Linked DNA regions of Sus scrofa. The protein of the gene in region 2 interacts with the protein of the main gene of each other region in a pairwise test. Links are inferred from orthologs where the notes say so. Each region holds a gene or a part of one and is shown on either strand. Other genes may lie near its edges.

Region 1 (3,512 bases), on a different chromosome or scaffold from region 2:
ATTGGGAAGGAGTCTGTGCTGGCCCTGCCTCCAGGAGGCCAAGGGCTCTGTCACTGGGGCACATCAGAGTCTTCAGTGTGCCACAGACTCAGAAACCAGCCAGGATCTGACACATCTCTAGGCGCTCTGGGTCCTGGGACCTGCAAGGCAGCCAGGAGAAGGGAATTCCCTTCCTGCCCTCCAGCCCTGGTCCTGGCTAAAAATCTGGATCTCGGGTTGCTGAGGACGAGCGGCTTGGTCAGATCTTCTCTCAGCTGATGGTTCTGATCTTTTGCTGGGTGAGGCTGTCCATCCCAAACCTCAAGGGTGTAGCTTAAGAATGTGACCCCCCCCCGCGGAGTTCCAACTGTGGTGCAGTGGATTAAGAGTCTGATGGCAGCGGCTGGGGTTGCGGTGGAGGTGTGAGTTCGATCCCCAGCCCAGTGCTGTGGGTTAAGGATCCAGTGTTGCATCAGCTGTGGCAGAATTCGCCACTAGGACTCAGATTTGATCCCTGGCCCAGGAACTTCCATATGTCATGGGGTGTGGCCATAAAAAAAAAAAAGATGTGACCCCAGTGTGCTTTTGTGCTGTGGAGCTGGGTGTCTGGCTGAAAAGGCTCTCCCCTCATGACACTCCCTGTTGGGAAAACTGAAGGTCATGTGATGCAGTCGTTCACATTAGGGAGAGGCTGCGTCCCTTCACTCTCACCACTCTTCCTGGGAAGGGGTCCCCAGGGAAGCTCAGGGTTCATCTCATGATGGGCTGATTCCCATACTGGTAAGAACAGGTGATCCTGAGACGAAGTTTCAAAACCGAAACTTAAGTTGGTGTGTTCGACTGCACGACCCAGCAATCTCACTTCCGGGAATTGAGACAGACATTGAACATATGGGCACCAAGGGTCACAGGAGCGCTATTCACAACAGCAACCCAAATGTCCAGATCTGTGTGAAACAGCACAGTGTGGTCCATACCTACAATGCAATACCATTCAGCTTTAAAAAGAAAGGAAATTCTGACACCCGACCTGCTTCAAGATCCAACATGCAAATATTGAAAATATTATGCTAAGTGAAGGAAGCCAGCCGCAAAGGGAGAAATATGACCTGATGCCACTTATATGAGGTCCCAAGAATGGTCAAACCCAAAGACACAGACAGTAGAAGAGGGGTTGTGAGCTGTTCGGGGGAGGGAGGAATGGGGAGTTAGTGTTTCACGGGGGCAGGGTTTCAACTTGGGAAGATGAAAAATTCTTGAGATGCATCGTGGTGAGGGCACAACCATGTGGATTGCATGGTTAAAATTGTACATGTTATGTTAAGTAGGTTCTGCCATGATGAGAAAAACGATTCAGCAGGAAAAAAGAATGGGAACCCAGGGCAGGTCTCAGGTGCAGACGCGGTCTTCGTCTCTCTTGCCCCACCAGGGCCCTCTCTTCCTGGTGAGGCTGAAGCCGGTGGACGGGCTCTAACTCCGCCCCCCGCTTCTCTTGATGCTTCCAGGTCTGAGGGCGGATGAACGGACCCCGCGGAAGCTGAGGCTCCTGCTGGTGGGAAAACCCGGAAGTGGGAAAAGCGCAACAGGAAACAGCATCCTCGGCCGGAAGCTGTTCAAGTGCAAGCTCAGTTCCAGACCGGTGACCCAGGACTTCCAGCGGGGGTGTCGGGTGTGGGCTGGGAGGGAGCTCGAGGTCATAGACACCCCCGACATCCTGTCCCCTCGGGCGGCGCCGGGCGTGGCCGCCCAGGGCTTCAGCCGAGCCATTGCCTTCTCCTTCCCCGGGCCCCACGCCGTCCTCCTGGTGACACAGCTGGGCCGCTTCACGCAGGAGGATCAAGAGGTGGTCAGGCGCCTCCAGGAGGTGTTTGGGGTGGGCGTCCTGGCCCACACCATCCTGGTGTTCACACGGAAGGAAGACCTGGGGGGCGGCTCCCTGGAAGAGTACCTGCGAGAGACGGACAACCGGGAGCTGGCCCAGCTGGACGTGATCTGTGAGCGGCGCCACTGCGGCTTCAACAACAAGGTGGAGGGGGCGGAGCAGGAAGCCCAGCTGGAGGAGCTCATGCAGCAAATCGAAAGCATCCTGTGGGAAAACGAGGGCCATTATTACAGCAACTAGGCTTGCCATTACTCCCCGTGGAACGTGCTGCTCCAGCAAGCGGGCGAGGGGCAGCTCCACCAGGGGTGGGGCTGCGAGGCAGGGCTCAGCCAGGAGTCCTGGCTGTAGACACTCTGCAGATCCAGGAGACTTGAGGGAGCTCACACACAGCTCCTAAGAGGCACCCATTTGAGATGCGCTGGCTTTCAGTGCTTCCCACCAGCCTCCCTCCAACTGAGTCCCACTTCCAAGCCCTCACCTGCTCTCGCCAGCTCACGGGCCACTGCCCATGCCAGGCTCCGGAGTTCCCAGGCCCATCATCCCCTCTTCCAGAACACCCTCCCTCCTCTGTGCCTCGCCATCCTCAGGCTTTCCAGGCCTCTAGTAGAACACACGTAGAGCAAAAGCTTCCTGAGGGCAGGCCTGTGCCTCATTCTCCCATGTAACCCCCGCAGCATCCGGGCCATTGGGCTCACTGGTGAAAAGCCGAGGTAGCAAATCAGTGTGGGATGTCGACCAGGCAGCTCTGCATCTCCTGGGCTGTGTCCTCGCCCATAAAGGAAGCAGGCACGGTGACGTTTCAGGTACGTGCTGGGTGTGGTGGGTCTGAACGCAGCAGTGGTTCTGTGACATGTGGGGAAGGACAGTTTGAAACAAACTTATGGTTACCAGAGCGGACAGGTGGAGGGGGGAAGGATGGACTGGGAGTTTGGGCTTGTGTACACTGCGGTAGATGGACTCACTGGCCAATGGGAACCTGCTGTAAAGCACAGGGAACTCTACCCAAAATTCTGTGATCATCTATGTGGGGAAAGAATCTGAAAAAGAATGGATTTGTGTGCATGGATAACTGAATCACTTCATTGTACAGCAGAAATTATCACAACATTACAGATCAACTATACTTCAATAAAACGTTTTTATTTATTTATTTTGTTTTTTTCTTTCCTTCCTTCCTTTCCCTTTCCTTCCTTCCTTCCTTCCTTCCTTCCTTCCTTCCTTCCTTCCTTCCTTCCTTCCTTCTTTCTTTCTTTCTTTCTTTCTTTCTTTCTTTCTTTCTTTCTTTCTTTCTTTCTTTCTTTCTTTCTTTCTTTCGCTGCAAAAGAAACTGCTTTTCTTGAGGGCTATACCCACCGCATATGGAAGTTCCCAGCCTAGGAGTAGAATTGAAGCTGTAGCTGCCGGCCTACACCACAGCCACAGCAATTTGGGATCTGAGCTGCATCTGCAGCCTACACCACAGCTCATGGCAATGCCAGATCCTTAACCCCCTGAGTGAGGCCAGGGATCAAACTGCATCCTCATGGATACTAGTTGCATTCATTTTTGCTGCACCACAATGGGAACTCCCTACCTCAATAAAACTTTAAAAAATGAAAAAGAAAGAAAGCAAGTAGAAACAGGGGAGGGTGGAAGGAGCAGCCTTTTCATT
Region 2 (4,026 bases):
AAAATTTTTCCTCTTGCCACAGTGGACTAAAGCTGGGCTGTCAACTACCTACAAGAAGGGAATTGTAAAGGCTCTGCCTAGATTCAGGCCCCAGGTTATCCCAAAGATTGCTTCCAGGCAGCACAACAGCAAGAGCAAAGGGGGGGTTCCTCTTACAGTCAGAGTAAGTGGTACCAAGGGAGGTGAAAGGCTGTAAAGAGACCTCAGAGCCCTGTGCTGGCCGGCAGCCATTCCCATGTACTTGAGGATCAGGCCGCTGCTCTCAGTGCACTCTCACCACGGCCAGAGCTGAGCCTGGAGAGCGAGCAAGCAGGCAGGGTGGTTGATTGAAACTGAGCCTCAGCAGGGCCCACAAGCTCCTGGGGAAGAACTTATTTCATGGATCATTTGGAGAAAACCTCATTTCAGGCTTCAGTTCTAAAAATGGCTAAAGCCAAAATAAGTCCTAACTGTTTTAAAGGATTCTTGGGCGCCTGAGGCTGAATCTCATCTTTTGTTTGTTTGTTTGTTTGTTTGAAGTCCAGGCCTTACTCTATTGTCTTAACCCAAAGTATACACCCATCTACTGCAACTCTTCCTTGAACTCCTGAGGTCAGGGAACACAAAATCCTTATTTCCAGTCAAGACCCCTAAGAGCTTTCAGTCCTCCAAAGTTTTGAGTTCTGCAAGCAACCAAGCAGATGGCCAACACAGTAAACACCTCTCACCTGGACTGTGGGACTGTCTTATCCACAAACAGGAAGATTGCCTTTTCAGAAGGAAGCTGGATCCTTTTCCTGATAATCCACATGAACTGAGCCACAGTGATGTCAGATGGAACCAGGTATTTCCGTTTGTCAATGTCAACAATCTGAGAGCCTGAGACTTTTTCCACGATCACCTGCAAAAGCAGAGAAAGGTCGGGACTGGATTTCTAGACTGAGGCTCTGGCCCAGCATTACTGGAGAGCTGATGAACAATGTGTGGTCAGGGAGGTGGGTGGGAAACTGTGAAACATGAGAAAATACGTTCGACTTAAAAAAACCACACACTTAAGAATTGATATATATGTGTTACGGGGAAAGGTAAGTGCTTTTCTGTGGTCAATTACTTTCTTTCTCATCCCTGATCTCAGCATGCATGAAATAAACACAGCCCTCACAAAAAAGCTTTGCAACATCTTGTCTGGGCAGACTGGAGACTATCTGGTGAGAGCTTCCTCTACAGCCTGTTACTTCAGGACCCCAAAGTGAACCCACACTACAGGGGAATAAGATCCCAAGGAACACTGGAAATGAGAATGGACGGACTAATGGGATGGACTGGCAATCCCAACCAGCCAAGAACCAAGCTCTTCATTTGGCCTGTTGCTTCTCTCTGAACTACGTTTCAAATTTACCCCTCTTGCTCTCTCCCCAGAGGAACTGTTTACAAGCCATGAGCTACAATAACAGACCCGGATGTCCTTTAAAAACCAATCAGGGAGTTTCCATCGTGGCACAGTGGAAACAACCCGACTAGGAACAACGAGGTTTCAGGTTCGATCCCTGGCCTTGCTCAGCAGGTCAAGGATCCAGCGTTGCCATGAGTTGTGGTGTAGGTCACAGTCACGGCTCAGATCTGGAGTTGCTGTGACTGTGGTGTAGGCCAGCAGCAACAGCTCTGATTGGACCCCTAGCCTGGGAACCTCCATATGCCATGGGCGCAGCACTAAAAAGACAAAAAACAAAAAGGACTAAAGAAACTATGTGCCCTAACACGGAAGAAATATAGGATACGTTTTATTGATTACAAGGAAGGCACTGGACGGGGCTCCTCAGATTTTTTTTGGTCAGGAAAGGATGACAGGGTCAGGGTGAGAAAAGGGAAGGAGAAGTCAGGTAAAGCCGGAGGCTCAAAGTTAAAGATGAATGTCCTAAGGCTAAAGTATCCCTTCCAAAACCAAAGTGAAAGACTCCCTCCACCACTATTCCCCAAAGTGGCTGTGACCTGTTGCCCTGTCCTAGAACATCGTTTCTTACATAATTGGCGAGGGAGCCCTGAGGCTGCAGACAGCTCGCTGGCCTAGTTCCGGAGATTCAGCACTGAGGCATCCTGAACAGCACCAACTCAAGCCCCTCAAGCCGCCGCCCGAGGGTCCCTAAGCCGTCAGGCCCCGTCAACTACTCTAACCGGACTGGAATCTAAACTTATCAACTGCTGAATGGCCAGGGACCCTATCATGGGTCCAAGACGGCAGGGGTGACAGCGAGGTGAGGGGGCGGGGAGTTCACTCACCGGAACCCGGTCGGGATATTTCGCTCGGATCTTCGCAGATTCCACGCATCTGTGTTCTATGAGAAAAACACACCCGGCTGACGGTCGCGCCGGCCCACCGGCCTCCGGGTCCCTCGCCCCTCCTCCACCCCACCCCACCCCCGTGACCTGTGCACGCCCCCGGCCCTCGTTCGGGTGTCCCAGCGACCTCGGTCCTCGTTCCCCTGGCTCTGGCGGGGCCCGCGGAGGGCGGCGAGGAATCCATAGTTAGCCGCCCGGGGTGCTGGGGCCTCGGCGACCAGAGCTCAGAGGGCGGCATCCGCCCCACCCGGCCCAGCCTAGGGCGGCCCGAGTGGGGGAGGGGGCCCACCCGCCGCCCCAGCCCCCACGGGCAGGCCAAACGCCGAGCGCTTACCCAGCGAGTGGTCCTCCTTGAACATCCACTTCATGGCGACAGCGGGGAAAGGACGCAGCCGGCTCTCGGAGCCGCGGAGCTCAGCGCACCAACCACAACAACAACGACGGCGGCGGCGGCGGCGGTGACTACACGGCAGGCGGGACTTCCGGCCGCTGGAGCCTAGCAACCGGCCGGGGGCGGGGCTTCCGGCGCCGCTTCTCAGGGCATCGGGCCAGGAGGCGTGGGGCAAGGAAGGAGTGGGTACCGCGAGAGGCCGCGGGAGGAGTTGCCGTGGTGACGTTGACGATTGGGGTGTCTGTAAGGGAAGTTGATGACTGGGAAGGGGATATTCAGGAATTGGTAACAAGAGCGGGGTTTCGGTGGACGTTGGTAACAGGAAGGGATGTGTGGAGGTCTGGCTGATACGACAGGGCTCTTGGGAGTGTTAGAGAAGTCCGACCGGGGCGTTGGTGACAAGAGGGGAATTTTAGAATATCAATGACTGAAGAGGGGTCTTTGGTGGCTGCTGATGGCAGGGGGTCTGTTTAGGGCATTGACAGTCTGAGGGGTATTGTGTAGAGTGGTAACGGGTTGGGCTAAATTGAGAGGTTTTTTGTTTATTTTTTTGGCCACGCCCACGGCATGCGGAAGTTCCCAGCCAAGGCCAGGGATCCCACCTGAGCCACCGCAGCGACAGCGCCGGATCCCTAACCCCTAGGCCACCAGGAAATTCCCAGGTTGGGGGCTCAATCTGGAGTGTATGACTAGTTTGAGGAAACTGTATGGGGAGGGATACTGATGACAACCCCGGGGGGTTCATTATTGGGGACAGCCATAACAGGTTGCATTGGACCTGGAAATGGAGTTTAAACAAATCCCATTTCCTTGCTTTATTCACGAATAGTGTCTGAATAAACATTTAAGAAAAGGTATCATAAATATGCATTTGAGGGGCATAACATCACGCTGATCACAAAGAAACCCCTTAATCTTAACTGGTGGAGTAGTCAGAGGTGACAGACTCAGAAAATTCCTCTGACAGCTAGGCATGAAGCGGGTTTCTTCAGCACTCAGCTTTGGGGTTCAACAGTTACAGCCTGGGTTGTGTGAGTGTCTCCTGCCTGAGCGTCCGCCTTCAGGTTCTCCAGGAACGTCATTCCTTTCTTCTTCCAAGAGTCATGGGACGGTCTGCCCTGGGTCATCATCTGTTTATGAGCTGGTGCATATCTGACAAGATATTCACTTAATTGGGCACATGATCCTCACCACATGCTTGTGAGTCTGATGCATCCAAAAGGCCTGCATGTGTGAACATCGTCATTCACAATTTCCTCAGTTGAAATTCCTTATGGATGTTGTGGAATCTAGCTTCATTCTAAAAGTATTTTTGTTAT
Region 3 (3,030 bases), on a different chromosome or scaffold from region 2:
TCCTAAATGGCAGAGTTGAAGATATAAAAAACTCACAGTGATTCTAACCCAGTCAAGACGTCCTTGTAGTCACTGGGCTTGGGAAGTTAGGATAGAAGTAGGTCTTTTTTCTGCTAACAGAATGGACCTAGACACAGAGAGACTCAAAATCTTTCTGTACTGAAAGGCAGCTGGAAAAGAAAGCCCTTTTCCTCTCTGCGCCGCAGTGTCCTGATCTGTGAAATGGGCCTGTGAAGACACAGGTGTGTGGGGACAGCTAGCGAGATGACACCCGCACCCCAGCCAGAATGGCCAGTGTTGTGAGTCTGGCTGTCTTGGGGCAGCCGGACCCCATCTTTTACTACCTCCCTGCCCTTTTTCTGTTTTTCCCCTAAAAAAGGAGCAGTTCATTGAGCTGTGCAAGACACTTTACAACATGTTCAGTGAAGACCCCATGGAGCAGGACTTGTACCACGCCATCGCCACGGTGGCCAGCCTGCTGCTCCGCATCGGGGAGGTGGGGAAGAGGTTTTCCGCACGGCCAGGCAGGAAGCCCAGGGACATCGCCCCTGAGGAGGACGAGCTGCCAGCCCCAGACCTCCCTCAGAACCCGGCCCGGGAGCTTCAGCCGCCTGCTGCAGGGGACCCCCAGGCCAAAGCGGGTGGAGACACCCACCCTGGGAAAGCCCCGCAGGAGAGCCAGGTGGTGGGCGAAGGGGGCGGCGGTGAGGGCCAGGGCTCCCCCTCCCAGCCTCTGTCGGACGATGAAACCAAAGATGACCTGTCCATGTCCTCCTACTCGGTGGTCAGCACGGGCTCCCTGCAGTGTGAGGACCTGGCTGACGACACAGTGCTGGTGGGCGGGGAGGCCCGCAGCCCCGTGACCACCCCCCACTGTGGGGGCACCGTGGACACAGACTGGAGCATCTCCTTCGAGCAGATCCTGGCCTCCATCCTGACGGAGTCTGTGCTGGTGAACTTCCTTGAGAAGAAGGTAGACATTGGACTCAAGATCAAGGACCAAAAGAAAGTGGAGAGACAGTTTAGCACCTCCAGTGACCATGAGCAGTCTGCAGCTTTGGGCTGAGGGCTCCAGGGCCTGGGGGCGGGCCTCTCCGCCTCCCTTTCCATTTGCTCCTTAAGGACACATCCCTCCAGCTCTCCCCAGAAGCCGTGAGTTGTAAATGGAAAAAAGGCTGAACAACCGCACTCGGGGCCCGGGCAGAGACTCCCCAGCCCCTCGTCCTGCCTTGGGCCTGCTGGACCCTGTGTAGTGTCAGGGGCTGTCTGATCTGCCCTCACTTGCCCTGCGCTGTGGCCAGGCCACACCCTGTCCTCCACCTCTTTTCCTGCAGCTGTGTGCTCTGGAGGCCCTCCTGCCACTTGGCACCAGGTGGGTGGGGAGGTGGGTGAACACATGTCCATTGGGCACCAAAGTGGTGGGCACTTGGAGATGCCCTCCCGGAGCCCCTGAGCCGGAGCTCCTGGCTGGGGGACACAGGCAGAAAGCATCTGCTGCACCAGGGTGGGTGCCTCCTGCGCAGGCGTTAGTCTAAATTCTCTTTCAGCTCATCATCCTCACCGTTAACCTTAAAAGCATATCCCTCAGGTCCTGATGTATTTCCTTGTATTCATTTGAGTCACTAAAAATCACACTGTGCTTAAGGCCTTAATAAATCCCTGAAAGATCTAAAAACCACATCGTGTAGAGAGAATTAATGTGGCCCTTGACCACTGCCTCCTGGCTTTTCCCCAGGCTGGTATGGGGTCCAGGCCATGTTCCAGAGTTTCCAGACACTTAGTCCCCACAGGGAGTTTAAGACCCCCAGGGAAGATGGGCAGGTGGAAGCTGCTGATGCAGGCTGGGCAGAGTCTGCACAGACCTCTGCCAGCAGAGGAGGCCCCGAGCTCTGCAGGTGTGAACAGCCTGAGTCCACCCGAAAAAGGTGTGTGCTCGGGTCCTTGGGTTCAGGAAGCAGACTGCAGGGACACAGGCACCACCTGAGCCCCCAGCTTTGCAGCAGGAGCTGATCATCTGTATCCAGTATTTTCCCCCAACACAGGGTTGTTCTTATTTCTCCTGAAAGATACAGCTCTGTGGCTATTTGCTTTTTTTAAATTTGATAGCTTTATTGAGACAAAACTTACATTGCATTACCATAAAATTTGCTTGTTTTAGGTTACAGTTCAATGATTTTTAGTAAACCTACAGAGTTGTGCAACCATCACCGCAGTTCAACTTTAGAATATTTCCATACCCCAGAAAGACCTCTCCTGCCCATTTGCTGCCAATCTGTGTACCCTCCCCCAGCTCCCGGCAACCACTAATCTATTTTCTCTTTAGTTTTTATGGATGGTTCTTAAAATAACAATCTCCATGGAGTTTTCTGTGGCACAGCAGGTTAAGGATGTGGCGTTGTCACTGCAGAAGCTCGGGTCACTGCTGTGGTGCGGGTTCAATCCCTAGCCTGGGAAGTTACACATGCTGCAGGTGCAGCCAAAAAAAATTAAAAAATAAAAATCTCCATGATTTTACCTGGTTCACAGCTGCTGAGTTATTTCTCAATAAATGAAGCAAAACAACATCAGGGAAACCGAACAACTGTTTTCTTAACAACAGAAAGTCAGTCATGTAATTTCCTCTCTAATGTTTACACAAACTGACTACATGCTTTGTAATAAATTAATTTCAGAGGATTTATTGCCAGAAAGACTGTTCTCGGCCATAATGAAATTAAGTAAAGATATTTAAGAATTCCACACATTTGGCAATTCAAAGTCAAATCGACTGTAATCAATTAAAAAGATTTAAATAACTTGGAATTTGGATGTTTTACATACCCTGTCAAAGTATAAATTTGAGAATACGCCAAAGAAATTAAATAGAATATGAAAAAGGACCCTGGCCTTTTTATGTGATAAAAAGAATGTACAGGAGTTCCCGTCGTGGCGCAGTGGTTAACGAATCCGACTAGGAACCATGAGGTTGCGGGTTCGGTCCCTGCCCTTGCTCAGTGGGTTAACGATCCGGCGTTGCCGTGAGCTGTGGTG

What was found. The genes of interacting proteins can lie anywhere in the genome.
Region 1: the proteins of GABARAPL2 (region 2) and GIMAP6 interact in a two-hybrid assay, tested with the Homo sapiens proteins (2 studies listed by BioGRID). The two-hybrid records come from large-scale screens. The link is inferred for Sus scrofa from reciprocal best matches to the Homo sapiens genes GABARAPL2 and GIMAP6.
Region 3: the proteins of GABARAPL2 (region 2) and TBC1D9B interact in binary tests that used the Homo sapiens proteins (3 or more experiments, as listed by UniProt). The link is inferred for Sus scrofa from reciprocal best matches to the Homo sapiens genes GABARAPL2 and TBC1D9B.

Annotation. Positions count from the first base shown.
Region 1 is NC_010460.4:6,417,759-6,421,270, forward strand, and holds the end of GIMAP6 (GTPase IMAP family member 6), read left to right. Parts: intron 1-1,484; coding exon 1,485-2,101; 3' UTR 2,102-3,007; downstream 3,008-3,512.
Region 2 is NC_010448.4:12,130,175-12,134,200, forward strand, and holds the start of GABARAPL2 (gamma-aminobutyric acid receptor-associated protein-like 2), read right to left. Parts: upstream 2,813-4,026; 5' UTR 2,685-2,812; coding exon 2,651-2,684; intron 2,313-2,650; coding exon 2,257-2,312; intron 881-2,256; coding exon 708-880; intron 1-707. UniProt on the Homo sapiens protein: Ubiquitin-like modifier involved in intra-Golgi traffic. Modulates intra-Golgi transport through coupling between NSF activity and SNAREs activation. It first stimulates the ATPase activity of NSF which in turn stimulates the association with GOSR1.
Region 3 is NC_010444.4:78,723,867-78,726,896, forward strand, and holds the end of TBC1D9B (TBC1 domain family member 9B), read left to right. Parts: intron 1-379; coding exon 380-1,066; 3' UTR 1,067-2,525; downstream 2,526-3,030. UniProt on the Homo sapiens protein: May act as a GTPase-activating protein for Rab family protein(s).